7 linked regions of the Macaca mulatta genome follow. The protein of the gene in region 7 purifies or fractionates together with the protein of the main gene of each other region. This does not show direct contact. Links are inferred from orthologs where the notes say so. Each region holds a gene or a part of one and is shown on either strand. Other genes may lie near its edges. The genes, in order: RARA, RPL11, RELA, CTNNB1, ZMYM2, ZFYVE9 and PML.

Region 1 (3,500 bases), on a different chromosome or scaffold from region 7:
TGAAGAGCAGCCCAGAGCTGCAAGGCCCAAACCTGTGCAGATTCTGAGCCCCAATATCTGGAGGAAGAAATGCACACAGAGGCTCAGGCCCTGGGGAAAGGAGGAGAAGCTGGGCACAGGGCTGCTAAGGACCGGGTACACCTGCACCCTGGCACCTAACGTGAGGGTGGGGAAATTCAGCCAGACACCGGGGAGCCCACAGCCCGGGCACCTGAAGGGGAAGCCAAGGCATGGTGCCTGCTCCTAACTGCCTCCTGCCAGGCTGCCATGGTGAGGTTCAGGCAGGGCCGCCGAGGGAGGCCTCCTGGGTCCCCAGCCAAGAGCCAGTCGGCAGCCAGCTCACCATGGCAACCTGGGCAGCGGTGGCAGAGCAGGCATACGCCCTGCCAGCTGGAGGATGGAGAAAGGGAAAGGAGCTGAGGCAGGAGGGGACCTCTGGTTTGAGGGAGCCCTGCACATTTATGGGGCAGGACCTATGGTAGGTGTCCCTGCTTATTGCCAACTTCCACAGAAAAACAACAGCAGCAACTTCAGGGACACCCCCCACCCCAACTGCACACTCCCAGGACACGGAAGTGGGGATATCCCACTGACCTCATCAAGCTGTCCTTCCCAATGACCCCTTCAACTCACCTTGCAGCCCTCACAGGCGCTGACCCCATAGTGGTAGCCTGAGGACTTGTCCTGACAGACAAAGCAAGGCTTGTAGATGCGGGGTAGAGGGGGCGGCGAGGGAGGGCTGGGCACTATCTCTTCAGAACTGCTGCTCTGGGTCTCAATGGCTAGAGAGAGAAGAGGGGAGGGGCAGTTAGAGACCTAGGCCGCCATCCTTAGTACCAAGCTCCACCCTGCCTCACAGTCCCTCCTAAGAGCCTCTCCCAGCCTCACCACTGCTGGCAGGATTCAAGTCTTAAGAAAACTGGGACTCCCCAGCCAGACTCAGGGAAGGAGGCTGCCAATGAAGCCTCCAGCGCCCCATCACTCCTCCGGATTCCTAGGACCCACACCTTCAAAACCACAAAGAGACAATGATAAACCATCAGATTTGTATGTGTGCCGTGACTGTGCTTGGGGAGTAGGGGTGGGGGTCACCCTGATTCTAAAGCTCTTGCCCCTGGGCGGCCTGGCCCCGTTCTCCCCCGAGTTAGGAAGGAGTTAAGGCTTGAAGAGGAGGGAGGGAAGAGGACACAAGCCGGGGGCAGAGGAAACTGGGGTCAACAGGATATTCAAAGCTGGCCACTCCCCCGCCCCCTCTGCTTCCGCTCCCCCCTCCACCCCATTCTGCCAGCAGCCACAGCCCCTCCTCCACCCAAACAATCCCAGGGCCAGGGACCCAAGGCAGGGGGTGCAAACAAGAGTCACAAATGCTGGGCAGAGCAGGAGGTGTCTCCCTGAGATAGGCAGGGAGACACCCTGAATACAGGGAGAAGAGTCCCCAGGGCCCCAGAATCCCATCATTCTGGGTACCCCCCATCTGGGGAGAGACGGCATGACAAAGGGGGTCTGTTCCCATCAATGCTCTGTCTGTCTGGCCTCAATACCATGTCCGGGTTAGTACCCCTCCCCTTCTGTTATTCAGCTCCAAGAGGGCAGCCAGGAGGGGTGACCCAGACAGCAGGGGCAGCCCTCACTGGCCAAATCCTCCCCAGTGCCTGGCTCCATGCCACCCATCACTGTAGGCAGAACAGGGCTGGGTTGGGCAGGGGCTATCTGTGTCCAAAGCCTGGGCAGCTAAGGGTGTTGGGTGCAAGATAAGAACTATGACTGAGGCAATCCCAGATTCCCAAGGGGCCACCCAGCATCGTCCTGAGGCCTACCACGTTCAAGTCCACTTGTCCAGGGCCAAGGATGGATGAGGATGCCTCGCCAAGTAGACAGATCCCTGCCTCCTCCCATATTCCACAGTCCTACTGAGCCCTACCCCAAACTCCAGCACATGAAACTGGCTGGCATTTAAAGGTGCCCACAGCGCCTGGCCCAGGCACCTTACAGACATGAGTCACATGGCCCCAAATCACATGGCCCTAAAGTTGGGGCACAGGGGAAGGAAGCATGGGAACACCAGGGGCTGACTCTGTGCTACCACCCTCTGCCCTTACCTGCAGACACAGGGGGAGCTACTAGGCGGCTGATGACAGGGAACTAGGCCAACAACCTCGGCAGGGCTTTCCTGGCTCTTAGTAGTACCTGGGCACCACTTCCTGGCCAGCCTGGCTGACCAGCACTGCTATGGCCCCTCATCCCCTTCCCTGCCCCAGACCAGCCTGCGGCAATGGGACAGTTGATGCCCACACTGCCCCCAGCCCAGTAGATTCTCTCCTGACCTCCCCCGTCTCCCCCTGCCCGCCCCCCACCCCCGTCTGCTCCTCACCCCAACACCAACTGCCCTGGCCTGGTTTTCTCCCACCTCATTCTCCCCAGGCCAGACAAGCAAATCAGACAGGCTGAGAGGCCTGAGAACAGCTGCTGGGGGGAGGTGGGGTTGGGGGGCCTGGGTGAGGCCAGGAGGCAGAAGGGGTGAGCCACAAAGGAGCCCTTTGTTGTGCTAACTTTTTCCAAGACGTAAAAGCAGTAACAATAGACAATCCAGACTGGCGGGGGGAGGGGGATCAAGGGCAAGGGGGTATGTGGAGGGCTGGGGGGACCATGGTCTAGAATCTCGCTGAGCACTCCGACCAGCAGAGGAAGAAGGCACCGACCTCCCCACCCCTCCTAATCCACCGTTCGCCCTGGGCCCCGCCTCTCCCAAGGCCCCACTTCTAAAATGAAACAGACTGGAAAGGGAGAAAGGACTGAGGGAGGTTTGGGGCACAGAGTGGGGTGTCAGGAGGGGAGCTAGGGTATGGGGAGTCATGGGGGATACCAGAAGGAGGGGTAAACAGCTCCAAGGCCTGGGACAGACCAGAGGGTAAAGACCCATAAAAACGTGGAGCTAAAGCAAAGTCCAACAGAGGGTGTTTACAGAACTGAAAGAATGTGCTTTTTAAAATCATTTTTTGGCAGAATGGGAGAGATGACCAGAGGCGAGGACTACAGTTTAGGCTAGGCAAGGCCTCCTTTTAGCCTACCCAATGGCAGCTTGGCTGCCTTGGAGGCTGTAACAAGCCTGCCCCCTACCCTCCAGCACATCCCCACCTGTCACCCAGGTAACCCAGCTCTGAGGTTTCCCTGCTCTGCCCTTTGAGCCCAGAGCTCGAGGCCCCACCTCCCCAGGCCTCCAGCCAGCAACCCAAGGAGGTGAGGTACAAGGATCAAGGCGGAGGTGTGGGGGACTCCGGAATCCTCACAACCTCTGCAAGAGGTAGGACACAGCCATAACTCCCTGCACACACAGGTGGGGCTGGGAGGGACACCAACGTGGGAGGGATTGCCCGGGCCTGGCCCCTCCCTGCTGACCTCCCTCCCCAGAGGCCCAGCCCACCAATCTCTCCTCTTCCTGCAGAAGGACTCAGGCTAGAGAACCACACCTTCTCAGCTCAAAGTTCCAGCGCCCCACAGAG
Region 2 (4,250 bases), on a different chromosome or scaffold from region 7:
TTGTTTGTTTATTTGTTTTAAGACAGGGTATCGCTCTGTCACCCAGGCTGGAGTGCAGTGGGGTGATCTTGGCTCACTGCAAGCTTCCTCTCCCAGGTTCAAGCGATTCTCCTGCCTCAGCCTCCCGTAGCTGGGATTACGGGCATGCACCACCAGGCCCGGTTAATTTTTGTATTTTCAGTAGAAACGGGGTTTCACCCTGTTGGCCAGGCTGGTCTCGAACTCCTGACCTTAAGTGATCCACCCACCCCGGCTTCCCAAAGCGCTGGGATTACAGGTGTGAGCCACAGCGGCTGGCCTGGTGGCGGGTGGGGTGGGGGCCGGTGGTCGCTGTTGCTTCACAGCTGATCCAGGTTTTCCGGTGATGCTCCTCTGCTGCTTAGTTGCCCTGAACACATTACTTTTTCACGGTATTAATGGCATAGCATATATTTTGCTGTGAAGTACTCATATGTGAATAAGCATAAGAAAGTATTGCTTATCAGTAGCATATACATTTACAGTCTGGAACAATGGTTAGGCCAACCAACCAGAGACTGTCCACAAGGGTGGCTGAGATAGTGACACCTTTGGTTTCTGATGGTTCAATGTATACAAACTTTGTTTCATGAACAAACTTACTTAAAATATTGTATAAAATTACCTTCACACTATGTGTATAAGGTGTATATGGAACATAAGTTAATTTCATGTTCAGACTTGGGTCCCATCTCCAAGATATCTCATTATGTTTATGCAAATATTCCAAAATCCGGAAAAATCCCAAATCCAAAAACCATCTGGTCCCAGGCTTTTCAGGTTAGGAATACTCACCCTGTAGTAACTTGCCCAAGGTCACATAGCTACTAACTGATCGAGACAGGACCACATCTGCCTGTCTTCAAGCTCGGGACTCTTGAGCTACCACACCATTCCGTTTGTATAAATTCTATTTGTGCCCGGCGTGGTGGCTCACTCCTGTAATCCCAGCACTTTAGGAGGCCAAGGCAGGTGGATCATTTGAGGTCAGGAGTTCGAGACCAGCCCGACCAACATGGTGAAACCCCATCTCTACTAAAAGTACAAAAAAAATAGACAGATATGGTGGTGCGCGCCTATAATCCCAGCTACAGAATAAATTTGCGTCATAATTTGCATGATTGATTTAATGTAGTTTTGGCGGTCTCATCACACAAGCACCACCAGCACCTGACACTGGGAGGAGAGAACGTCTTCAAGGTCCGGAAACTCAAGGTCGTGCTGATTCTAGGAGCTTTCAAAAACTATTTTTGGAAAACCCAAATCCCGGTCTTCAGCCAGCGTTGCTTGCAGTTGCTAGCCCTACCCACAAGGGGGAAGCCGACGCTGCACTGCGCAGCCAAATGCGCCTCTCTTCCTCTTCTTGATCTCTGTGGTTAGCCTGGGAAAAAAGCCCGCCTCCTGGCCCATAAGGCCCTGGGCCGGAAGCTCCGTTTTCTTTTCCTGCACCCCATCATGGCGGTGAGTAGCTGGGATCTGGATTTGCTTTTCTTTATCCGTCGCCATCCATGGCAGGCCGAGCTTGCGGGGGCTACCTCGCCTGCAGCCCGAGGAGTATGGACCCCTCAATGCTTGCCGGCCCAAAACTGGCAGAGCCGTTCGAGCCAAGGACGCAGGGTTGAATTCTGTCACTTTCCCTGCCATCATTTTAGGAGCGGCTCCGGGCAGTTGCCGGGAGAGCTCAGAAGCACTGTCAGGAGGCTGCAGCTAGGGCAGATGGGGTGAATGGAGGGTTCTGAGGCAAGGGTCCGCGCCTTTTCCTGGTTCCGGGGACTTGAGACTTGCTGAGTGCTAGGAAACCTTAGCCGGGTGCTCGGCTTAGGGAAGGTGCCAGCCTTTAGACAGCTTCCGAGTGGGATGCTGAACGTCGCATAACCACGTGTTTCCTGTTAGCAGTTAAGTTCTATTCCGTCGCTTACTCCCCTTAGTTTCCCTTACAGTGGGGGCGCTCTTTGTTATCCTGAGCCTCTTAGAGTTCGATCTCAGTGTCCGTAACCTTTAACACTCAATACCTGTCCTGAGTTTTCTCTTCACCTGTTCCGTTCGTGGAGGAAGAATAGGTCCCGAGCTGACTTCGTTCCTTGATGCCTCCCAAACACGGTGATACCTTCTTCGTTACGATTTGGGATGAGCAGAAATAAAAATGCTGTGCAGATAGAAAGTAGTAAAAACTCAGGGCTCTCAGCTGTGAGTGTATTGACTGCTGCTCTTCCCCATTGCAGCAGGATCAAGGTGAAAAGGAGAACCCCATGCGGGAACTTCGCATCCGCAAGCTCTGTCTCAACATCTGTGTTGGGGAGAGTGGAGACAGACTGACCCGAGCTGCCAAGGTTTTGGAGCAGCTCACAGGGCAGACCCCTGTGTTTTCCAAAGGTGAGTAGTGACAAATGACAGGGCTACCCACTTGGGTCGCCTGTTTGTTTAATTTACCTGCTGTCGAGTCTGTTTAGAAAGTGACAGTCGGCATCACTTAAAGCGTTAAATTCATGAGCCGACCAAAAAGTGTCTTTGTTTTCGAGATTGCATGTGGGATTGGAACACTGGATTTTATATGAGCAGATCTTAAGCTAAGGCTAGCCCAAGTAAAGATTTTCCCAAGTAACTAGGATATGAGATAGAGTGGAAATACCAGGAACGAAGTAAAGATCATTAGATCTGATTAGCAGTTAGGGTTATATAGGCTGCCTTAAGAACAGGGCTGTACAGGAGCATGAGAGGCTTCAGTGGCCTATGATAGTGCTACTGCACTACAGCCTGGTTGACCCTATCTCAAAAGTTGTATACAGATTGCCTGGGTTTGAGTGATGGCTTCACCACTTGCTGGTCTGACTCTGGGCTCTCTGGACCTCTGCTTTTTTATTTGCATAAAGAGGGTGTAATACTTGATAATTGTGGAAGATAAAATGAGTTGTATATGTGCCGTTGCTTTAGGATGGTGAAATGTGGCAAGTCTTTGGATTCCAATCCTGCTTTTTATTACCAGTTGTGCAAGTTAATAAACCTCTCAAAACCTCACGTATAAAATGTGGACAACAGTATAATAATAAGGTTTTAGCAAGTACTAGATTATTGTCAATAATGCTTTATTTTCTTTGGACCATGATAATCTTACTAGTGACTTCTTTGGCTTATTCTGGTTGTGAACTTGCCCTTCTTGGAACTTTGGCATTATGACTGTTCTTAACTGCTGAAGGATGGCTGGATGTCTGGAAATGGGAAAATCTGCTGTGGATGAAATCTTATTAATAGATGTAGGCGACACTAATTAGAACACCACAACTTAGAGTGTGGATGAATACTTAATGCCTCTTTAAGTCATGGAGATGGTGTTCTGGGAAGGAGGTGAGTGTAGTGGGGGTGTGATGGCATCTGACTCCTTGTTACCCCCTTTCTGCAGCTAGATACACTGTCAGGTCCTTTGGCATCCGGAGAAATGAAAAGATTGCTGTCCACTGCACAGTTCGAGGGGCCAAGGCAGAAGAAATCTTGGAGAAGGGTCTAAAGGTGAGGCTAATCCCCTAATGGAGTGATATTAATGAGCACCCACTTAATAACACAAGTAGATAAGTTACATTTAATGTTCTGTTCTTTGGTGCCTTGACATTTATTATTTAAGTTTCTAAAAGACTTTTTACAATCAGCAGGGTTAAACTATTCTTGGTGGTTTAAGAGATGCTTGAGGCTGGGCACAGTGGCTCTACGCCTATAATCCTAACACTTTGGGAGGCCAAGGAGGATAGATTATTTGTGGCCAGGAGTTCGAGACCATCCTGGCCAATATGGCGAAACACCATCTCTACTAAAAATATAAAAATTAGCCAGACTTGGTCGCGGGCGCCTATAGTCCCAGCTACTCGGGAGGCTGAGGCATGAAAATTGCTTGAACCCGGGAGGTAGAGGTTGCAGTGAGCTGAGATTGTGCCACTGCACTCCAGCGTAGGCCACAGAGTGAAACTCTTGTCCAAAAAAAAAGGATGCTTGGGAGTCATTTCATTCCTCTGCTTTATCTGGGTTTTTCTCTGTTCTTTGGAAGCTGGGAGAGGTCATTTTGGGTAGTTGGGGTGTAGTGAGGAAGTCAGATTGTGTTCCTAGCCAAGTTTTATTGACTTCTGTTTTGTTTTTTTGTTTTTTTGTTTTTTTTTTTTTGAGACGGAGTCTCGCTCTGTCACCCAGGCTGGAGTGCAGTGGCCGGATCTCAGCTCACTGCAAACACCGCCTCCCGGGTTTACGCC
Region 3 (3,500 bases), on a different chromosome or scaffold from region 7:
ATCTGCCTGTCTCAGCCTCCCAAAGTGCTGGGATTACAGGTGTGAGCCACCGCACCCGGCCCAACACCCTGTCTCTTAAAAATAAATAAATACACAGATAAATAAACAAGGTGCTGTCAGAGTAACAATTTCAGTCCTGAAAATAAAACAAAGTCATAGGATAGAAGGATAACCTGGGGTGGGGGAGTTACGGGAGCTGGTGTGATGACTTTAGATTGGAAGGTCAGGGAAGGCCTCCCTCCTTGAATGGTGAGAAGGAGGAGAGAAGTAGGAAAAGAACATTCCAAGCCGACCAAACAAGTGCAGAGGCCTTGAGGTGGGAATGAGTGTCCTGTGTTTAGAGAATGGAAAAGAAGCGCCTGTGGTTGTAAGCAGGGAGCCCACGGGGAGGCTGGCAGGGGCGGGGGCACGGAGGTGCTTGTCAGCTGAGGGAAGGGACAGGGTTCATTGCAGCACAGTAGGAAGCCACTGGAGGGGGTCAAGCATGGAGCGATGGTCTGGGGGTGGGTGGGGGAGGAAGGAGCAGGCTGGGCAAGGCAGGAAGGTCCGGGCTGTGTGAGAGACAGCGGGACAGATGGCTGGGGGTGCTCAGTTTCCAGAACCTGGGAATCCAGTGTGTGAAGAAGCGGGACCTGGAGCAGGCTATCACTCAGCGCATCCAGACGAACAACAATCCCTTCCAAGGTGAGGGCTACCCTGCCTGCCGCCCCCGCACCCTCTGCCACCCTCCCTGGCCCGCCTTTCCTGCATCTCCCTCATTGGCCAGTACACGGTAAAGATGGACTCTTGGTGCCCATTCGGTACTCTCCCACTTTGCCATTGGGAAACTGAGGCCCAGGAGGGGACATGACATTCAGGTCACAGTGGAGTCACTGCTGGGTTCTGCCTCCTCTAGGACTTGTGTTTTACACACTCGCCAGCGGCCCTCCCAGAGCAGAGCTCCCTGCCCCAACTGGTCACACCTATATCCCCACTTCCCCTGCTCTCCTGATCACCTGTTTTCTTGCCAGTTCCTATAGAAGAACAGCGTGGGGACTACGACCTGAATGCTGTGCGGCTCTGCTTCCAGGTGACAGTGCGGGATCCATCAGGCAGGCCCCTCCGCCTGCCGCCTGTCCTTTCTCATCCCATCTTTGACAACCGTGAGTAGCGAGGGAGACACAGGAAGGGGAGAGGGTGGGCCTGGATAGGAGGAAGGGGTTGGGGTGAGTGTGGCCTGCAAGAGGTGCTCTGATTCATCAGTCATCTTGTGTATTCATCTTCTCTTCTGTGCCCAGCTCTTTGTTGGCTGGGGAGAGAAGGCAAAGAAGACCCAGAGCTGTCCTTGAGGTGTAGCTCCGGCCTGGCAGGGAGTCTAGCAGGGAGTCTGATGGGAAATGGGCATTTTCAGTATCGTGTGATGAGAAGGTGGTGTGCCCACAACTGCGATAATGACTCTAGGAAACGAACTCCCAGGAATAAGATAGTGTTCGAGAATGATGCTTCAGTGACAGAAGCCCGCAGACGAATTGGGCTGACTGATCAGCTGCAGTCTTTAATTAAGTAACCAGCAGGATGAATGGAAATAAAACGACTCTGGAACCCCAAAGATGGGAAACCAGGATAAACTGGGGGTCAGGAGGGAAGGGCTCATTGCCAAGGTGGGTATGGACTGACCTTAAAGATTGCTTTGGTCAGGTGGAGACACAGTGTGATCAGATTGGCACTCACTGGACTATAAGCTCCGTGAGAGCAGAGGTTTAGGTTTTGTATGTGGTTGTATTCTCCTTGCTTAGATCAGTAGGCAAATACTTGTTGAATTGGTTGGGGTGAGGAGCTAATAAGAAGGTCTGACTGTGGCTGCAAAGGTGTAGGTGGCAAGCTCTGGGCAACCTTGACTTGGGGCTAGGCAGGGAAGTTGCATCTCCTGCAGGCCACCCCGGGGACCTCTGGTGGCTCAGGTCATCCTTCCTTGTTCTCACTGCCTCAGGTGCCCCCAACACTGCCGAACTCAAGATCTGCCGAGTGAACCGAAACTCTGGCAGCTGCCTCGGTGGGGATGAGATCTTCCTACTGTGTGACAAGGTGCAGAAAGGTATACATCAGGAGGCAGGGGTGGGCTCTTGGGAGCAAGGGGTGAAGCTGAGCAGAGACGGGGCGTGGCAGGCAACTGGCTTTGGATACTTCCTCCTATGCCTCAGGGGCCTCAGGTGGGCCGAAGGGTGATATTAGAAGACAAGCATCCGAAGTTGAGGGGGAGACCGTGGAGGGTTAGACACACTGACCCACACTGCCACCCCATCTCCTGCAGAGGACATTGAGGTGTATTTCACGGGACCAGGCTGGGAGGCCCGAGGCTCCTTTTCACAAGCTGATGTGCACCGACAAGTGGCCATTGTGTTCCGGACCCCTCCCTACGCAGACCCCAGCCTGCAGGCTCCCGTGCGTGTCTCCATGCAGCTGCGGCGGCCTTCCGACCGGGAGCTCAGTGAGCCCATGGAATTCCAGTACCTGCCAGATACAGGTACACAGCTGGGATGGCAGCATCAGGGCAGCTGGGCTCTGCCATGAGAGAGAGGCCAAGACCGCATGTCTGGGGCTGTAGTTGAGGGCCAGAAGCTGGAGTCAGAGCTTGGGATTTATATGGTAATTGGAATCCATTTCTTGCCACATTTAATGATAAGGATACCTCAGACGTTGAGCTAGTACTACACATCTGCCCTATTCCAGGCATTTCACTGGATCACCTGATTCTAATGTCATGACCCTTTTGAAGTAGGAGATAGTGTCTGACTTGCTTGGGTTCACGTGGCTAGTAAGTAGCAGAGTCAGCATTGGAACCCAGGCCATCTGGCTTCAAGGTCCTTTTGCCACACTGGTTGTCTTGTCACTACCATAGAGCTCAGCCACATTTTGGTCAAGGTTTGAATGTCTACTTGGTACCAGGGCCTGTGCCAGGTATTGTGAATACAAAAAATGAGTAAGACAGGCTCCCTGCCCTCAGAATCTCAGTCACTTGAGGAAGACAAATATGCAAAACAGATCCTTAAGTCACAGAATGACATGTGAAACAGAGGTGTGTGCAGAGCAGCACGGGGGCACGGTGGCCTCCGGGGAGCTGGAGACAGCTGCATGGAGAAGGTGGCGTTGAAGCTGGAGAAAGACACGGAAGTGTGTTCTCTAGGCAGGTGGCCAAGCACCTGGAAGGGAAGGGGTGTTGGCAACTGCACGGCCTGTTTGGGGGCATCTTCGTGGTTTGAGCCGATGTTGGGCAGTGAGCAGGCTCAGAGGAGGGCGTGGTTAAGCTGAAGGCCTCTAAGCAGAGAAGTGACAGGAGCAGATTTGGAAGTTGACTCAGGAAGCCACATGTAGAAGATCAGAGACGAACAGACTCAAAGCGGGGAGGCCATTCTGGAAGATGTTGCTGTAGTCCAGGAAAAGAAGATGCGGCACAAACCTCGTAGAAGGAATAGCGAAGCAAGATCACATCTCCGCCACTGTCCTCAGTTACCCTTCAGCCC
Region 4 (3,497 bases), on a different chromosome or scaffold from region 7:
CTCCAACTCAAAAAAAAAATAAATAAATAAAGGAGAGCAAATTACCAGTGAGTGGTGTGTTACTTGGGTTTTTAATAGGCATCTTATTAACATGTTCCAACTTGAGCCCTTAACTTTCTCCACCTACCCCCTTCCACAAACCTGTTTTGACTGTCTTCTCTGTCTTGATGTCAGCTTTGTCTGTCCAGCTGCTCAGGCTAAAACTTTTCTTTCATACAACACATCCTGTCAGCAGCTCCTGTTTGGGGGTAGGCATTTTGCCTGTTTTTTTTTTTTTTAACTGCTATATCTCTAGCACGTAGAACAGTGCCTGGCAGCACATAGTTGGTGCTTAATATGTATTTGTTGAAAGATCAAGTCAGTGAGTATTTTTAATGTGAGGTGCAAAGAGAAAAAAATGTATCTTTGAGGGGTGGAGTTTTGAAGAACTTCCATTTTCTAAGTATTTGTGTAATGTTGGAGTTACTTGTTTCCTTTGTAATCTGAAAGTATGCTTTAAAAAAATTAGTGTACTTTTAAGTTGAGAATTTTCATTTTGCTTTTTATTCTTTCTTGCCTTGTGCCTGTTTATCTAGACTGCGGATCTTGGACTTGATATTGGTGCCCAGGGAGAACCCCTTGGATATCGCCAGGATGGTATGCGTCTCATATTTCTCGATTAACTCCAGATCAAGCTAAAGTTCTAAAACTTGATCAGAAGAGCTGGTTTGCTCATCTGGGAAACTAGTGTTGGCAGAAAAGTAATGGCTTCAATTAAAAGCAGTTCTTAAATTCCAGTCAGCAACAGTATCTTTAACGGAGCACAGGGAATTCAGAGCCACACAATGAATAGCAATAGGATTACACCACCAACAAATACATGCTACTACTAGGCCTCTGCAGTGTAGGATGTTACAGTTTACCTGGCTTTTTATTCTCTTTTTGGCCAGAGGACTCATAATACCTTTTGTCTACAAGCTACCCAAGGAAGACAGGAAAACTCCTGTCTCTAGGCTCAGATCTGGGGTGGGTTTTTACATAGTTGCATTATCAGGGTTTTCTTGAAAAGCGAATTCACATCTGGGTAATGAACATAGAGGATGGGGTAGACCAGTAACAGTTACAACTGTCTTACATTTATAACCTCATCTGCTTCTACCTAATTATGAAACCACTAAAGCGCAGATTCTTACTGTGACAAATAACATGTCAACCCTAAGATAAAATATGTTGAGGTTTCATTGAAATAGTGCCTTAACTTTCCTTAGTACTTTTGTTGGTGTCACTTGGACTTTTTGTCAAGATAGATTACACCTGCCAGACCTCATTATTGTCTTAATCCTCCTTCCCATGAGTTCTCATTGCCTAGGTGGTCACACAGTAGATTCCTGCTTCTCCTTCTTGGGAACCCCAAGTCTGACAGGGGTAAATGCAGTGTGTTCAGGGTTAGACTAATGATGTGACTAGGCCCTGCTGGTGTGCCTCTCTGATGGAAACAGACGTTATTTGTGTAGTCTCATGGGTGGTCTGGCACTGAGTAATTACTTGGCTAAAAAAAGCTAGAAGTTGAAGAGGCTAGAAAGCATTGTTTTCTGACAAGTTTGCTGCTGAACTTTGGATGCCCTAACCTCAGTGTTAATGTCTATGTCTGTTTCTCTCCTCTCTCTTTTGCCTTCCTTCTTGCCTATTTTGTTCATACCCTGACTCTTCTAGATCCTAGCTATCGTTCTTTTCACTCTGGTGGATATGGCCAGGATGCCTTGGGTATGGACCCCATGATGGAACATGAGATGGGTGGCCACCACCCTGGTGCTGACTATCCAGTTGATGGGCTGCCAGATCTGGGACATGCCCAGGACCTCATGGATGGGCTGCCTCCAGGTGATAGCAATCAGCTGGCCTGGTTTGATACTGACCTGTAAATCATCCTTTAGGTAAGAAGTTTTAAAAAGCCAGTTTGGGTAAAATACTTTTACTCTGCCTACAGAATTTCAGAAAGACTTGGTTGGTAGGGTGGGAGTGATTTAGGCTATTTGTAAATCTGCCACAAAAACAGGTATATACTTTGAAAGGAGATGTCTTGGAACATCGGAATGTTCTCAGATTTCTGGTTGTTATGTGATCATGTGTGGAAGTTATTAACTTTAATGTTTTTTGCCACAGCTTTTGCAACTTAATACTCAAATGAGTAACATTTGCTGTTTTAAACATTAATAGCAGCCTTTCTCTCTTTATACAGCTGTATTGTCTGAACTTGCATTGTGATTGGCCTGTAGAGTTGCTGAGAGGGCTCGAGGGGTGGGCTGGTATCTCAGAAAGTGCCTGACACACTAACCAAGCTGAGTTTCCTATGGGAACAATTGAAGTAAACTTTTTGTTCTGGTCCTTTTTGGTCGAGGAGTAACAATACAAATGGATTTTGGGAGTGACTCAAGAAGTGAAGAATGCACAAGAATGGATCACAAGATGGAATTTATCAAACCCTAGCCTTGCTTGTTAAATTTTTTTTTTTTTTAATATCTGTAATGGTACTGACTTTGCTTGCTTTGAAGTAGCTCTTTAATTTTTTTTTTTTTTTTTTTTTTGCAGTAACTGTTAGTTTAAGTCTCTCGTAGTGTTAAGTTATAGTGAATACTGCTACAGCAATTTCTAATTTTTAAGAATTGAGTAATGGTGTAGAACACTAATTCATAATCACTCTAATAATTGTAATCTGAATAAAGTGTAACATTGTGTAGCCTTTTTGTATAAAATAGACAAATAGAAAATGGTCCAATTAGTTTCCTTTTTAATATGCTTAAAATAAGCAGGTGGATCTATTTCATGTTTTTGATCAAAAACTTTATTTGGGATATGTATGGGTAGGGTAAATCAGTAAGAGGTGTTATTTGGAACCTTGTTTTGGACAGTTTACCAGTTGCCTTTTATCCCAAAGTTGTTGTAACCTGCTGTGATACAATGCTTCAAGAGAAAATGCGGTTATAAAAAATGGTTCAGAATTAAACTTTTAATTCATTCGATTGTGTCACTCTTTTTTTTTCTTGTCATTAAATGGTGAGGGTGGTAAGTTTATCCAACTCAACTTTATACTGAGGAAGATACATAGTGAAGTAATTTGTTATAGCGATAGAGAGGCCCTTCTCTAGATGCAATTTGCCAAGTTTCTTCAGCATTTGGCCCTGGGTTACATTGCACCCCCAAAAACGTGTTTCAGCCTTGCACATTGTGATTAGTTCTGGGCTTTTGTGGGAGAAAGCCAAGCAGACTGTCTATCATCTATCTCTCTCTACCCCAATCTCCCCGATGGTTTGATTCCATTAAGGTAATGAAATATTAACTACCTGGATTTGGATTTGAATCACCTTCACACAAGTGTGACTCATTGGGAGAGGGGAATTCCTTCAACTCTACTTTGAACTAATAATTAAATAGGTTTAAGTGATGATGTTTATCTGAACATAATCAGAACCAGAATGAGCCTTCCACACTATCTATCTGCCAGATGATCCTATCAGTCA
Region 5 (3,996 bases), on a different chromosome or scaffold from region 7:
ATTTCCCTATTCTAGACATTTCTTGTAAATGGAATAAAATATTCAGTGGTCTTTTGTGTCTTGTTTATTCACTTAGCATAATGTCTTTAAGGTTTGTCCATGTTGTAGCGTATATCAGAACTTCACTCCTCTTTATGTCTGAATAATGTTCCATTGTATGGATGTACCACATTTTGTTTATCCATTCATCAGTTGATGGACATTTTAGGGATGTTGGAAATTATGAATGCTGTTATGAACATTCAAACATTTATTTTTAAAATTACTTTTATGTAAAATTAAGTCTGCTTTTAACATTATGACAAATACTTTTTTCCCAGTTCTAAATTCTCAACGAAAATTCTCCCTGGTATCAGACTAGCAAACCAATGAAGAGTTTCATGGACAAATGTACCTGAATGAACTAAAAAAGTGCATATAAATACCATAATTAGCACAGGTGCTCATTAGTTATATAAAACAGCAATAACACTAGGGAATTAGTAGCAGTATAGAGCTCCAACTGAACAGTACATGGCAACCTAATCTATCATTTAAGTTTATCACAGAGCTTATTTGGAAGTATGTCTACTTTACTCTTCTAAATATAAACTCAATGAGCTGAAGCTACTGCAATACGAGCTGGCAGCAGAAAAGGGATGGTGCAAGTTTTCACCAAATTATTACAATTTGGTAGTAGAGGATGTGTCTGTTTTGATGATAGTGGCTGTTTTTGTTGTGATGTTTCTGTTGTGATGATAGTTTTTCAGTCTAAAACAGCACTGTGTAATATAAAATCTTAAGAGGCTATTTTAGTGTATTTAAAACTAAAAAATTTTAGTTACAAAAGTTTCCTAAAAATTAGTGATACTTTTTGAAAAGCTGGTTCAAGTACATTTTATTAATTTTTTTCAATAGAAAAGAACAGTGTATTCAAGGTATTTAGTACAAGGTGGAAAGCCTACTTTATTTTTCAATGAGTGACTGAATTCAACTTCTACTAGATTTCCTCTGTGAAGTTGCGTCTATTAAACATCAGTCTTTCATGGGTGATTAACTTCACTGAAAACTTCATGTTCATCAATATCGTGTTGAACTTGAAACTGTATTACCATACATCTGTTTATTAATAGGCAATGGTGTCAGATAATGGTGAAATGGAGAAGTCGCCCATCCATTTGGGTGGGAAAATAACCAACACCCTCAGTTGTAATCCCACTAAGAACCGCCAGGGCGAGAAGCAAGCGGCACCGCTTCCATCTTTACGTGAGTCTTGGAAATGGTTCAGCACCATGACGTCCGCCGAAGACGTAGGTGTAGACGAGGAACAAAAGAGAAGACCCCTCGTGGAGGTGGCCTGTGGGGCCCGCCCTCCCCGGGCGCCGTCGCCGTCTGTCCCTGACTCCGCTCCCCCGGGGGCCGCAGCGAGTGCGCCCCGCGATGGAGCGGGCTGTGGAGGGAGCCTCCATGGAGTCTCCATCAACAGTTGAGGACCAGGAGACGGTGGCAGGCGGTAGAGCGGCCTGGGCAGGGCCAGCGCCCCGGGCTGCGGAGCACAGGACGGCGGCGCCCAGGGACGCCCCAGGGCGGGCCTCGGCCCCTCCAGCCGGCGGGAGCCCAGCTCCAGGGGAGCCCGTAGCTCCCTCCATCTTGGTTGATGGAGGCGGGGAGCGGCGTCTGGGTCTCTCCACCGTCGTGCCCGTCCCCTACGGCCCCGCGGACGCAGACGCCAGCAGCCGGGGCTGTTCCCTTGGCCGAATGGCAGAGCCCAGTCGGGGCTTCCCGGGGACAAGTTTCCCGGCCCCACGGGGTTTGGTTTTTAGGGGGTCCCAAGTTCCCACAGTCGTGCCGACAAAATGGAGGACGTCGTCTCCTCCTGCTGCAGCCATGGCGGGAGGTGGGGGACTATTCCCCACGGGGCGCGGCGAGGGTGGAAGGGCCTCCACTGCCCCCAGCGCAGTCAGGGCTCCAGTTCGCCCGCGGCCCCGAAAGCCCACTCGGCCCCGCTCCAGCGCCTCCCCGGCCTCGCCCCTCGCAGGGGCCTTCAAGGAACTGGACAGGGAGGGCGATGGGGCATCGAGGCCGCGGCTCTCCTCGGGCAGGGGCGTTGGGAGCCGCTGCCGCGGCCTGGGCGCCCAGGCTCGGGCGAGGGCAGGCGGCCCCGCCGGAGTCTCCCGGGCTGTCTAGGTCCCGGAGAGCCCCGGGCCCTGAGGAGCCGAAGCGGGGTCGGTGCGGCGGGCAGCGAATCTCGGGCTCCTGACCCTGGCAGACCCGGTGGGTGGGGGCGGGGGACCGGCGGGGAGGGGACCCGGCCGGGAGTCGAGGGCCGGCGGAGGCGGGAGTGGAACGGCAGGGCCGGGGGAGTGGCCCGCACCTGACGGACAGCCCTTCGGACCACCCCACCGAGGGGGGGCCCTGAAGGACTGCCGTTGGAGCCAATGGGCAAGCCCGAGGCGCTCCGGCCCGCCTCCCCCGTCAGCCAATGAGCGCGCGGAGGGCGGGGCCTCCCCGGGCTCGGCCGCGCCGCCGCCTCCTCCGCCTCCTCCTCCTCACCAGCGCTAAAGCCGGGACTGGACCGAGCGGAGTTGTGCGTGTCGCCGAAGGGGGGTGGGCCGGGGGAGGGGAGGTTCGCTCCGCGGAGCCGCAGCCAGAACCGGGTGAGGCTTATCCCCGCTGTCTTTCCAGTCCGGGGCCGCCGAGAGTGGGGGTGGCTGGGAGCAGCGCAGCCTCCGGAGGAGGAGGCGGAGGCGGAGGCGACTAGGGAGGCGGAGATGGGTGAGGGCAGCCTCCGGAGCCTCCCACCGACCCGGGATTAATACCCCGCGGCGCGGCCGCCGTCGCCGCTGCCGCGTCGGGGCCTCGGGGGCAGCTCGGGGCTGCGCTCATGTCACAGGCGCCTTCGCGTGCGGCCCGAGGGGCTGGGAGAGTGCGGGCGAGGCCGGGAGGGCTGGGTGAGGCGGCCGCCAGCGGCGGGGGTCGCGGGGCCGGCGGGGCGGCGGGACGGCGGGGCGGGGGTGCCGGCCGCCCGGGGAGGTCGCGGGGCATTTTCCTTTCTCTCCTGCGGGGGGCGGGGGAGGGGCGCCCCGGCCGGGTCTCCGCGCTCGGGGCCGCGCTCCCACCCTGTCCGCCGGAGCCGAGGTCCCCAAGTTTTTCGGGGTGAGGGCTGCCGCCTCTGCCCCGCCGGGTCCCCTCCTTCGCTCTTCTCTTCCTCGGCGCTGCGCTGCGCGGCTCTTGCTCCGCACGTATTGTTTGGCTGGGTCTCTAATGGCGGACGGGGAGGCAGCGCTGCCGGTCGCCGACTGCAGGGGGGGGCAAACCTCGGGCCCAGGGCAACTGCTTGGGGCAAATGTGGGCGATATCGGCCCAGCGGTGACGCGAGCCGCCCCTTACCTCTGAATTGGTACTTGGAGTGACGGGGATGACGCTGGGTGGGCGAATTTAGGAGGGAATACAAATCCCTTGCTGGCGTCGAGGCAACGTTTTCCCTTCCCCCCTCCCTTCCCGGGAGCAGGCTCGGTGTCCTCAGGCCCCCTCCTTTCCAGATTTTGCCTTTCACATGGGTTTTGGCCCCAGATATACATTTTGCGCTGTTTTGCCCCACTTACGCAGGAGGGGGCTATTGTGCGCGTGGTGGGGTAATAATAGAAGAACCGAACCTCCTTGACCTCTTATTCCCTTCTCTGCCTCCTTCTGGCAGAAAGGGTTGGTTTCTCCCACCAGGTTGTGTGTTCTTGATACATTTTTCTTTTTTCCTCCTGTCCCAGGACCAAGAATCGCCTTCAGCCCTGTCCGGTGCATCCTTGGCAGAAAGTGAGGAGGAAAACACCCCCATTGTGAGTCCCTTGCCCCTAATTTGTTGCTAATAGAGGACATTGTCAGGTTGTAGGGGTTCAGCTACGGGACCTGGCCCTCCCAGTTGTTTTGAGGGGGAGGAGCTTTCCCTTGGGTGGCAGCTGCCCCCAGGGCGAAGCCTGGGTAATGGCTGGTGAGGCAGCTGGGAGTGGGCGCTGCTGTTTC
Region 6 (3,926 bases), on a different chromosome or scaffold from region 7:
TGACTTAGTCCTTTATTTAATAGATATAAATCTGTTTCTTAGTGTCAGTAGCTCTTCTCATTTAGAGTATATCATAGCATGCATATTTTTCTAGTTCTCAAGACAGGGAAATCTTTTACCAGTGATTTTCATTCTTTATTCTTTATTGGGTCTTGGAAACTTGAATTTTAGGTCTTTTTCTTATTCTCTTATTTTTTATTAAGCACATCATTTTCACGTCTGATAATAGAATATTTGTAATGTCAGGAAATTTTTCTTGCTGCCTCAGTTTATCTTTAACACAGTTTATCTGTGTTCATTAAATTATCTCCAATATACTTACCTGTTCTGAAAATACTATGATTATGTGTTAGATATTTTATACTGATAATATAATATTCATAGTCTTAGTTTTATTCTGATTAGCTTCAACTACTAATCTTGTTCAAGGCTAAATTAGGCCCTTAAAGAATTTTACATTGTCTCTAAGCAGTTATAGTTGGGCTACCATAACTTAATGGATATTGTCATATTTTCACAAGAGGGTAGTAATATTTGAAGAGCCTTTGTCTTTTGCATACACCCCTGATAGGGAAGGTTAATATTGGGTTAATAGATCCATTGCTTCTAAGCAGTTGGAGGAGGACTGGAATGAAGAGACTCCATTTGGAGAAAAAAATAGTTTGGCAGTAAAAATCACAACAAGAAACTTGTGAAACTCAACTTAAGAATTCTGTATGTATTGAAAAAAAATCGCGCTAGAAGGACATTCTTGTGAAGCAGCAGTTTTCTTAGCTTTGGATTCTTGGAGGGCCCATTATAAGGCAAATTATATACTTATGAATTAACACAATTGAAGTCATTGGGTAGAAAGTGCCTGCTGTTGATGTTTCACTTTGCATTATCCATTGAAAATAAACGTGCAAAAACTCTTCTTTGTTGAAACATTTAACTTTTGGCCTTTTCAGACAATAAAATGTCTCTGTTGCTGCCTTGCATGCAAGCCAGGTCTTTGAATCCAAAGGTATAATTGTATTTACTGTTCAAGCCCCATTGCTTTTGTTTGTCTGGCTATGATAGATTTATATGAAGAAAATTAGGGTTTATTGTTTCATCAAGTGTAATGAGCAATGTGTTTTTCATTTAGGATCAAACAGAGCATACTGAATCAGCAGGACTGGCTGGTGGTGCAGCAAGCATGAGTAAGCACCGAGAAGTCTGTTCCTTATCACGTGTGTAAGGGGAAAAAGGTAAGAAAATGTTTTTATTTCTCTTAGAGATTGAACTTGAGAAACCAATGAGATCTATAGAAGATAATACTGATGCATATATGTTATTTGCTTCATTTGTAACATTGTATCTTATTAAATCAGGAGTATGATTTTCTTCAAAAAGATTTGACTTAAATTCAGAGGAAAAGGGTATTTAAAAATCACTGTTATTTTATGTCACAGTGGTCACAATGTTAATTTCCCTACCAGTGCTGGCTCCTTCGTTTTAGAGTTAGTTGAGTATAGAAAGGTAATTTCAGAAAAAAATATGACTTTGAGCAATATTTTAGCTCATGCAAGAGCTAAACAAGTAAAGCTGATTTGGGGATGGGGAATCAGAAATGTAAAGTTAATTACATTATTTTATTTTGTATTTTTAGATAAGTTATTATGTAGAGCAATAATTTCCAGCAGAAAATTGGAAGTATTCTTGTAGAGCAGGAACCCTTGACTTTTTCCTAACTAGGAGTCATGTTGTTTTTTTTCAAGTCTTAAGATTATTTAAGGGTGTGAACCCCCAGTATCTGTGTTGGAAACAAGTGCTTGGTGTAGCCAAAAGAAACCTGCACTTAAGACAGAAATTTTCTCAGCAAGGCACTTTTACTTCTGCAGAAGGGTGCTGTTCACTCCTGTTACAAATGCAGGAGCACACCGAACAAAGGAAGGAAGGAAGGGGCTTTTAACCCTAACACAGTTCCTGTTTCTGTGTCTTTCCCCTATTGACTGGAGTTGGACTGCATAATCTAAGCTGATCCTCACTGGCTAAGGCTTAAACTTTTCCAAATAAGGTAAATGTGTGATTTGTGAAGGGGCAGGGTGGGTAAAGAAGAAATGGTTAGGCTTAACAGAAGAGGGGGTAGGATTGTTTACAACTTATGACCAGGAAGTTGAGTCTTTGAAGAGGAACTCAGTTGTACCAACAATCTCCCCTCTTCTGTCTTATAGTTCTTCATCTTCAAGTTTCTTTAACAGGATCTGGCTATGTTGTTCTTCTTGATTATCTAGGTGCAAGAGCTTATCTGAGTACAGAGGGGGAGAGGTTGGGGAGGTTTTTGTGAGAGCTGCTTCTGTGAGCCTTTGGGTTAACCCACAAATACAGGGTATGATACAGCAACCCACAAGGATGAGTACACCTCTAACAATTGCAAGGAAGGTAAAGATTGAGGTCATGAGTCCTTTCCATTTTCCAGACCACCTTTCCATTAGTCCTGTAAAGGGGTCGTCTATTCCAGAGTTTTCGGCTAGTTCATTTGCTAGGATGGTAAGGCCTTGTAAGGCTTTTATGATTGTCCCGTCGGGGGCTGTATTATTAGGAATAAAATAAAACACTGGACCCTGATCATGACATAGACTTCACCTTTTTTGGCCAACACCATGTCAAGGGTTATTCTATTTTCCCAGGCCATCTGGCTGGTGGGGTCTAATTTCAGCAATTCCTTTTATGGCATCTCTGGTATAATTGATGAATTGCTGCTGATTGTAGTATATGTAATGTATCCAGTCTACATTTTTGTTTATAGTGGACTACCAGAATAATATAGACTCGAACCTGGTGGGTATTTGGTTTTGAGCTTTGAATTCATTTGGTACCCTCTGCAGGACCCCGATGCTGTCTATGTAAACTTGGGGGTCAAAGGACCCATTTATTGGGGCTTCTTTTTTTCTTCTGGTTACCTGCTTCCTGATGAAATGCCAAGGTGAAAGGGATGGCCAATTGGATCAGAGCACAAGTGCCACTCCAGTTGCTTGGCAGTGTTCCAAATATTGGTCCCCCTCTATACCACTATACATCCACTTGGGGATGGACTGGGGCTGACTGATTGGTTAGCTCTTGAAAAGGTTTAGGTCCACTGCATCCCATCAGGTTTCCAAGGAATGTCAAATTTTCCCCTTGTTGTAAGAGACACAAGGTAAAATTGGCATTGAGAGCAGGAAGTCGAATGTCCCTTGGGGGCTGTCCCATAGGGCTCCTGACTTTTGGGAAAAGTAGTGAAAGAGTGGCACATGACTTGTTTCCCCAGGCTGTGAGGTGCTGGAAGAGAGCTACCATACAGTCTTTGCCTGATGGGTTGGCCCATCTGAGTGGGAGGGGAACAATTTGGGTTTCTGGCCTGCCTGTTGCACAAGCGTAACAATCGGTTTTATTTAGGGTGTGAATGGAATATTTAATCCATTCCAGCTAGGCATTTACATCTTGATAACCGGTTTCTATGGCTAGGGTTTGCTGTAAATCCTTTACTTCTACTATAGCTACTTTGGTTTTGTCATTAGACATGAAGCGAGAAATGGTTTGATTTTTGTGGTTTTGGGAAGTGAGTAATGGAGGGAGATGGAGGAGGAGGAGCAAACCTCATTTCAAAGATGCCTGTAGGGTCTTTTGCAGTGACATCCGCTCCTAGGCCATAAAGGCGCTCTAAAGTGGGGATACGGTCGGTGGAGGTGGGGATAGGAATAGAGAGAAGTACTGGGTTGCACTGGTGGTTTTGGCAATTTGAGGGGGTGGTTCCTTTGGTGAAGTGGAGGTAGGGTTTTAGGGTGGTGCAACCCTCTAAGGAGGTCCAGCCCTGATATTTGGTGGTCAAGATAACATCTCCTCAACTATAACATAACCCCTTAAAGGCTTGTGGTCGTCGATTGCAAGGGTCCGGGGTGATACTGGTTTTTCTGCGGGTGGAG
Region 7 (4,154 bases):
AAATGTAGAAACAATCCAAGTATCCATCAACAGATGAATAGATAAACAAAATGTGGTCTACACATATAATGGAATATTATTCAGCATTAGAAAGAAATGAAATTCTGATCATGCTACAACATAGATGGACCTCAATGACATTATGCTAAGTGAAATAAGCCACACACAAAAGGTCAAATACTGTATGATTCTGAGGCAGGAGAATAGGGTCTGGAGGCAGGGAACCTAAGGCCGATTCCCTCTGACTTCCTAGAACTAAATCCAAAGGAAAACCCGAACTCTCCACGCCCAAGTAACAAAAGGACCAGAGGCTACTCTCTTTGCAAAACACCCCATTTCCTGCCTGGCAGATGGAAAATTGAAAGCACCTCTGATTGGTTGCTTTCTACAACCAATGGGGTGAACACCAAGTGGCCAATGGGAAACCTCTAGGGCATATTTGGAACCCAGAAGATTCTGTAACTTGGGCCCTTGAGCCCTGCTCCAACCCATCCCACCCTGTGGAGTGTACTTTCATTTTCCATAAATCTCTGCTTTCATTGCTTCATTCTTTCCTTGCTTTGCTGTGCATTTTGTCCAATTCTTTGTTCAAAACGCCAAGAACCTGAACAACTTGCGGTCAAGACCGTCTACTGGTAACAATTCCACTTATATGAAATATCTAGAATAAGTAAGTTTGTAGGGACAGAAGGTAGATTAGAAGTTACCAAGGGCTAGGGGAAGGAGAAAATGAGGAGCTATTGCTTTACTGAGACTCAGGACACACCACTTCAAAATATGACTGCAGGAGGCCAGAATATGCCACCCTTGAAATATACTTTGTTGGCATATTTTAAGCTGGTTATTCTGAGAAACTGCTGATACAGGAATAGCTCTGAAAAGCTCTCCTTTTGTAAAACAGAAAGGCATTTGCATCCCAAAGAAAATCTACATTAGTAAAATGGTCTATATTAAAAGAGGGCTGCTCCAGACAACTCTTATTATCTAAGAACTTTTTATCTACATAGCAAGACAACAGCTCCTCTCCTCACCCTCCCATAACTTGTGTCATCATCACCACCCAGAAGCTCCAAGCTCTTTTCTGTGGATCAGGATGTTATATAGGCTTCAATCATCTGACCTTTCTTTGAGTCTCATACTTTGTGGGACTCCTGAGTATACATATGTAATTAAATATGGGTTTTCCCCCTGTTAATCTATTTTATGACTATTTAATTCATAGCCCAGCCAAGGAAACTAGAAGGGTGGAGGGAAGCCATCTTTCCCTCCCCTATGGTTTAAAGGGTACAGAGTTTCTGGAGCAATTAAAAAGTTCTGAAAATAGATGGTGGTGATGGTTACACAATATTGTGAATCTACTTAATGCCACTGAACGTTACACTTAGAAATGGTTAACATAGGAGCTTATCCGTTACGTATATTTTACCACAATTTTTAAAATACAAAAGCAGTCCGGGCATGGTGGCTGACGCCTGTAATCCCAGCACTTTGGGAGGCCGAGGTGGGCAGATCACGAGGTCAGAAGTTAGAGACCAATCTGGCCAACATAGTGAAACCCCATCTCTACTAAAAATATAAAAATCAGCCAGGTACGGTGGTGTGGCCTGTAATCCCAGCTACTCAGGAGGCTGAGGCAGGAGAATCACGTCAACCCGGGAGGAGGAGGTTGCAGCGAGCAGAGATCGCACCATTGCACTCCAGCCTGGGCGACAGTGCAAGACTCCATCTCAAAAACAAACAGATAAACAAACAAACAAAAAACAAAACAAAACAAACAACAAAAAAAACCAAAGTGCTTAATACAGTACCTGGCACATTTGAAGTGCTCATAAATGTTAGCTAGTGTTGTTAAGTAATGTTATTCTTAGTTGTAATAATGCTTATAAAAGTTACTGTAATACAGTGTCCTCTGTACTTTCATGAAGGGGAGCAAAAGGGCCTGGAAGGCAGCAGAACAAGAAACCCAAGTAGTTCCTTTGGGGGTGGAGGTGGGAGGTAGGCAGGACAGGTGTGGCAAGAGAAGGGTTTGTTAGGGAGGCTTCCTTAAGCAGAAACCACATGAGCTGGGAGGCCTTGGCAAAGATACCTCTTCAGTCTGAGCCACAGTTTCTCACCTCGGATCTGGGAAGTTGGTTTTAGTTTTGCTGTGCCTGGGACAGGCTCCTGGCTCCAGGCCAGCGCAACAGGGCTACCACCTCCATCCTCCCTAATCTGTGGTCCTGCATCTGAGGCAGGGTTGAGGCAGGGCTCGAGGGTGGGCGGAAGGGCCCAGGCCCGGAGGCCACTGACCCTTCTCACCTTGCCCAACTGCTCCGTGGAGAAACCGCAGCCCAGCGAGGCCGCCCCAACTCCTCCGGGTCCTCTTTTCTACTCTATCCTACCCTCCCATGCCCCAGCCAAGAAGGTCAGGACCCTGGTGTGTGGTCTTTCCGCTTTGTGTCACTCTCTAGCGTACTTGACCAAATCCTCCGTTAGACCCTCTCTTCCCCACTCTCCCCACCACAGCAAACCAATAAAGCCTAACCCCATCATCCCCTAACCCAATAGTACCTCTGTAGGGCTGTGGCTGGGGCTGGGCTGACGGCCTTCCGAGGGGGTCTCGGGGGGAGGCATGGTGGGCGCGTGGGGCCGGGCGGGGTCCTGCTGGGGCCTCGGAGATCGGGCGGGTGCAGGCTCCATGGACCTCAGCTTAGTTTCGATTCTCGGTTTAGATCTTGGAGGGCGTGAAAAGAAACTAAAGGGGAGGCGTGAGCCAGTTGGCTGAGCCCCTTGAGCTGTCCGAAAGGGGAGGTGCCAGCTCAGGGCCCGCCTCTGGAGAGGAAGTGAGACAGAAGCTGGGGGCGGTTCTAGGGGCAGAGAGGCCGACTGTGGGTTTTAAAGACACGCCCAGAGCGGGGAGGAAGGAGAGGCGGGGAGCCGCAGACCTACTGCTGGCTTACGGTAAAGCGGGAGAGGCAGGGCAGAGCTGCAGAGGGGCAGCCCCACCCCCGGGTTTGATCCATTCATCAGTTCACACTGGCACTGCTTCGTGCCACCTCCTGCCGGGAGCTGGGCGCACAAATATGAGCCACACGCAGCCCCTGCTTTTTAAGAGCCCCAGATGTAATGGAAGAGCAAGCTTGCAAACGGAGACATTCTGGAAAGGAGAGCCCTCAGCTGGGACCTGAAAAAGCAGTGGGAATTCACCAGGGATTCAGGGCTGTAGGTGGTGGGGTCCAGGGGACACTGGAAACACAAAAGATAGCTCTTGCAAAAGGCATGGAAGTTTGAAACACGAAAGCCTGTTTGGGAACTAGTTTTGGCCGTTTTCAGATTTAAGAGGGAATTCATGAGAAATGATGCCCAAGAACTGTGCTGGGACAAGATCCTAACTAAGGAGATTGGACCAGTTCTGGGAGTGATGGGAAGTTGGTGAAGGATCTGGAACCAGGGAACAACATGATCAGCTGTGCATGATGGGACAGTCACTCTAACAACCTAGGGGCACGTACCCTGGTCTAGGACAGTGGCTGTGGGATGCAGAGGAGGGTCTTGAGTCAGAGATCCTGGGAAGCCAGTGACTGGAGGTGAGGGAGCAGGGTGACGCCTTGAGTGACAGCTGGAAAGGCTGGTGGATGTGAGGTGGTGGGGGCAGGAGGGAGGGGGAGAGCTGGAGAGCGGGTATGAAGAGGGAGAGGGGAGAGCCAGCTAGGTCTTCACCAGTGGAAAAGCATGCCAGACTCCCAGCTGGTGAGGGGGAAAGGGCACAGCTCCAGGTGACCTCACTGGGCCAGTGCCCCTGGCTTCAAACTTAAACCATCGCAACCACTGTGCTGGCTCCTGTGTACCCATTCTGTACTCTGTTCCAACTTAGAAACAGACTAGAAAGGATGATGATAGGGCCTGGCTCTTGTAAACCTTATAGTATGCGGGCTGGAGGTCAAGGGTTGGGTGGATACCCAACTTCCTAGGGACTGTAAGAGGCCTCAGGAGCCTGCCCTTCCCTCCAGCCTGGTCAGTACTCCCAGGCCTTTAGAGAATCAGTCCATGAAAGCCAAATACGGTGGGCAGCCATCTGCACAAGGGACCTGGAAGTGGGCTATGGCAGGATGGGGCTTTGGAGGCCAGAGGCGATTGGCTGAGGAGGCAGAGCTGGGGAAGCTTTATTCATTTAT

The links.
Region 1: the proteins of PML (region 7) and RARA purify together in Homo sapiens (affinity purification with western blotting; 6 studies listed by BioGRID, with this or other methods). This does not show direct contact. The link is inferred for Macaca mulatta from reciprocal best matches to the Homo sapiens genes PML and RARA.
Region 2: the proteins of PML (region 7) and RPL11 purify together in Homo sapiens (affinity purification with western blotting; 3 studies listed by BioGRID, with this or other methods). This does not show direct contact. The link is inferred for Macaca mulatta from reciprocal best matches to the Homo sapiens genes PML and RPL11.
Region 3: the proteins of PML (region 7) and RELA purify together in Homo sapiens (affinity purification with western blotting; 3 studies listed by BioGRID, with this or other methods). This does not show direct contact. The link is inferred for Macaca mulatta from reciprocal best matches to the Homo sapiens genes PML and RELA.
Region 4: the proteins of PML (region 7) and CTNNB1 purify together in Homo sapiens (affinity purification with western blotting; 3 studies listed by BioGRID). This does not show direct contact. The link is inferred for Macaca mulatta from reciprocal best matches to the Homo sapiens genes PML and CTNNB1.
Region 5: the proteins of PML (region 7) and ZMYM2 purify together in Homo sapiens (affinity purification with western blotting; 3 studies listed by BioGRID, with this or other methods). This does not show direct contact. The link is inferred for Macaca mulatta from reciprocal best matches to the Homo sapiens genes PML and ZMYM2.
Region 6: the proteins of PML (region 7) and ZFYVE9 purify together in Homo sapiens (affinity purification with western blotting; 3 studies listed by BioGRID and IntAct, with this or other methods). This does not show direct contact. The link is inferred for Macaca mulatta from reciprocal best matches to the Homo sapiens genes PML and ZFYVE9.

What each region holds. Positions count from the first base shown.
Region 1 is NC_133421.1:64,730,025-64,733,524, reverse strand, and holds part of RARA (retinoic acid receptor alpha), read right to left. Parts: exon of another isoform or gene 3,468-3,500; intron 1,008-3,467; exon of another isoform or gene 889-1,007; intron 783-888; coding exon 634-782; intron 1-633. UniProt on the Homo sapiens protein: Receptor for retinoic acid. Retinoic acid receptors bind as heterodimers to their target response elements in response to their ligands, all-trans or 9-cis retinoic acid, and regulate gene expression in various biological processes.
Region 2 is NC_133406.1:217,305,161-217,309,410, reverse strand, and holds the start of RPL11 (large ribosomal subunit protein uL5), read left to right. Parts: upstream 1-1,450; 5' UTR 1,451-1,473; coding exon 1,474-1,479; intron 1,480-2,240; coding exon 2,241-2,391; intron 2,392-3,415; coding exon 3,416-3,522; intron 3,523-4,250.
Region 3 is NC_133419.1:8,731,280-8,734,779, forward strand, and holds part of RELA (transcription factor p65), read left to right. Parts: intron 1-592; coding exon 593-684; intron 685-1,010; coding exon 1,011-1,142; intron 1,143-1,969; coding exon 1,970-2,074; intron 2,075-2,290; coding exon 2,291-2,503; intron 2,504-3,500. UniProt on the Homo sapiens protein: NF-kappa-B is a pleiotropic transcription factor present in almost all cell types and is the endpoint of a series of signal transduction events that are initiated by a vast array of stimuli related to many biological processes such as inflammation, immunity, differentiation, cell growth, tumorigenesis and apoptosis.
Region 4 is NC_133407.1:104,579,637-104,583,133, forward strand, and holds the end of CTNNB1 (catenin beta-1), read left to right. Parts: intron 1-575; coding exon 576-636; intron 637-1,692; coding exon 1,693-1,901; 3' UTR 1,902-1,913; exon of another isoform or gene 1,914-2,218; 3' UTR 2,219-2,997; downstream 2,998-3,497. UniProt on the Homo sapiens protein: Key downstream component of the canonical Wnt signaling pathway.
Region 5 is NC_133422.1:1,840,430-1,844,425, reverse strand, and holds the start of ZMYM2 (zinc finger MYM-type protein 2), read left to right. Parts: upstream 1-1,196; 5' UTR 1,197-1,289; intron 1,290-2,530; exon of another isoform or gene 2,531-2,930; intron 2,931-3,743; 5' UTR 3,744-3,812; intron 3,813-3,996. UniProt on the Homo sapiens protein: Involved in the negative regulation of transcription.
Region 6 is NC_133406.1:188,440,105-188,444,030, reverse strand, and holds the start of ZFYVE9 (zinc finger FYVE domain-containing protein 9), read left to right. Parts: upstream 1-1,126; 5' UTR 1,127-1,229; intron 1,230-3,926. UniProt on the Homo sapiens protein: Early endosomal protein that functions to recruit SMAD2/SMAD3 to intracellular membranes and to the TGF-beta receptor.
Region 7 is NC_133412.1:51,727,166-51,731,319, reverse strand, and holds the start of PML (protein PML), read right to left. Parts: upstream 2,801-4,154; 5' UTR 2,680-2,800; coding exon 2,551-2,679; intron 548-2,550; exon of another isoform or gene 1-547.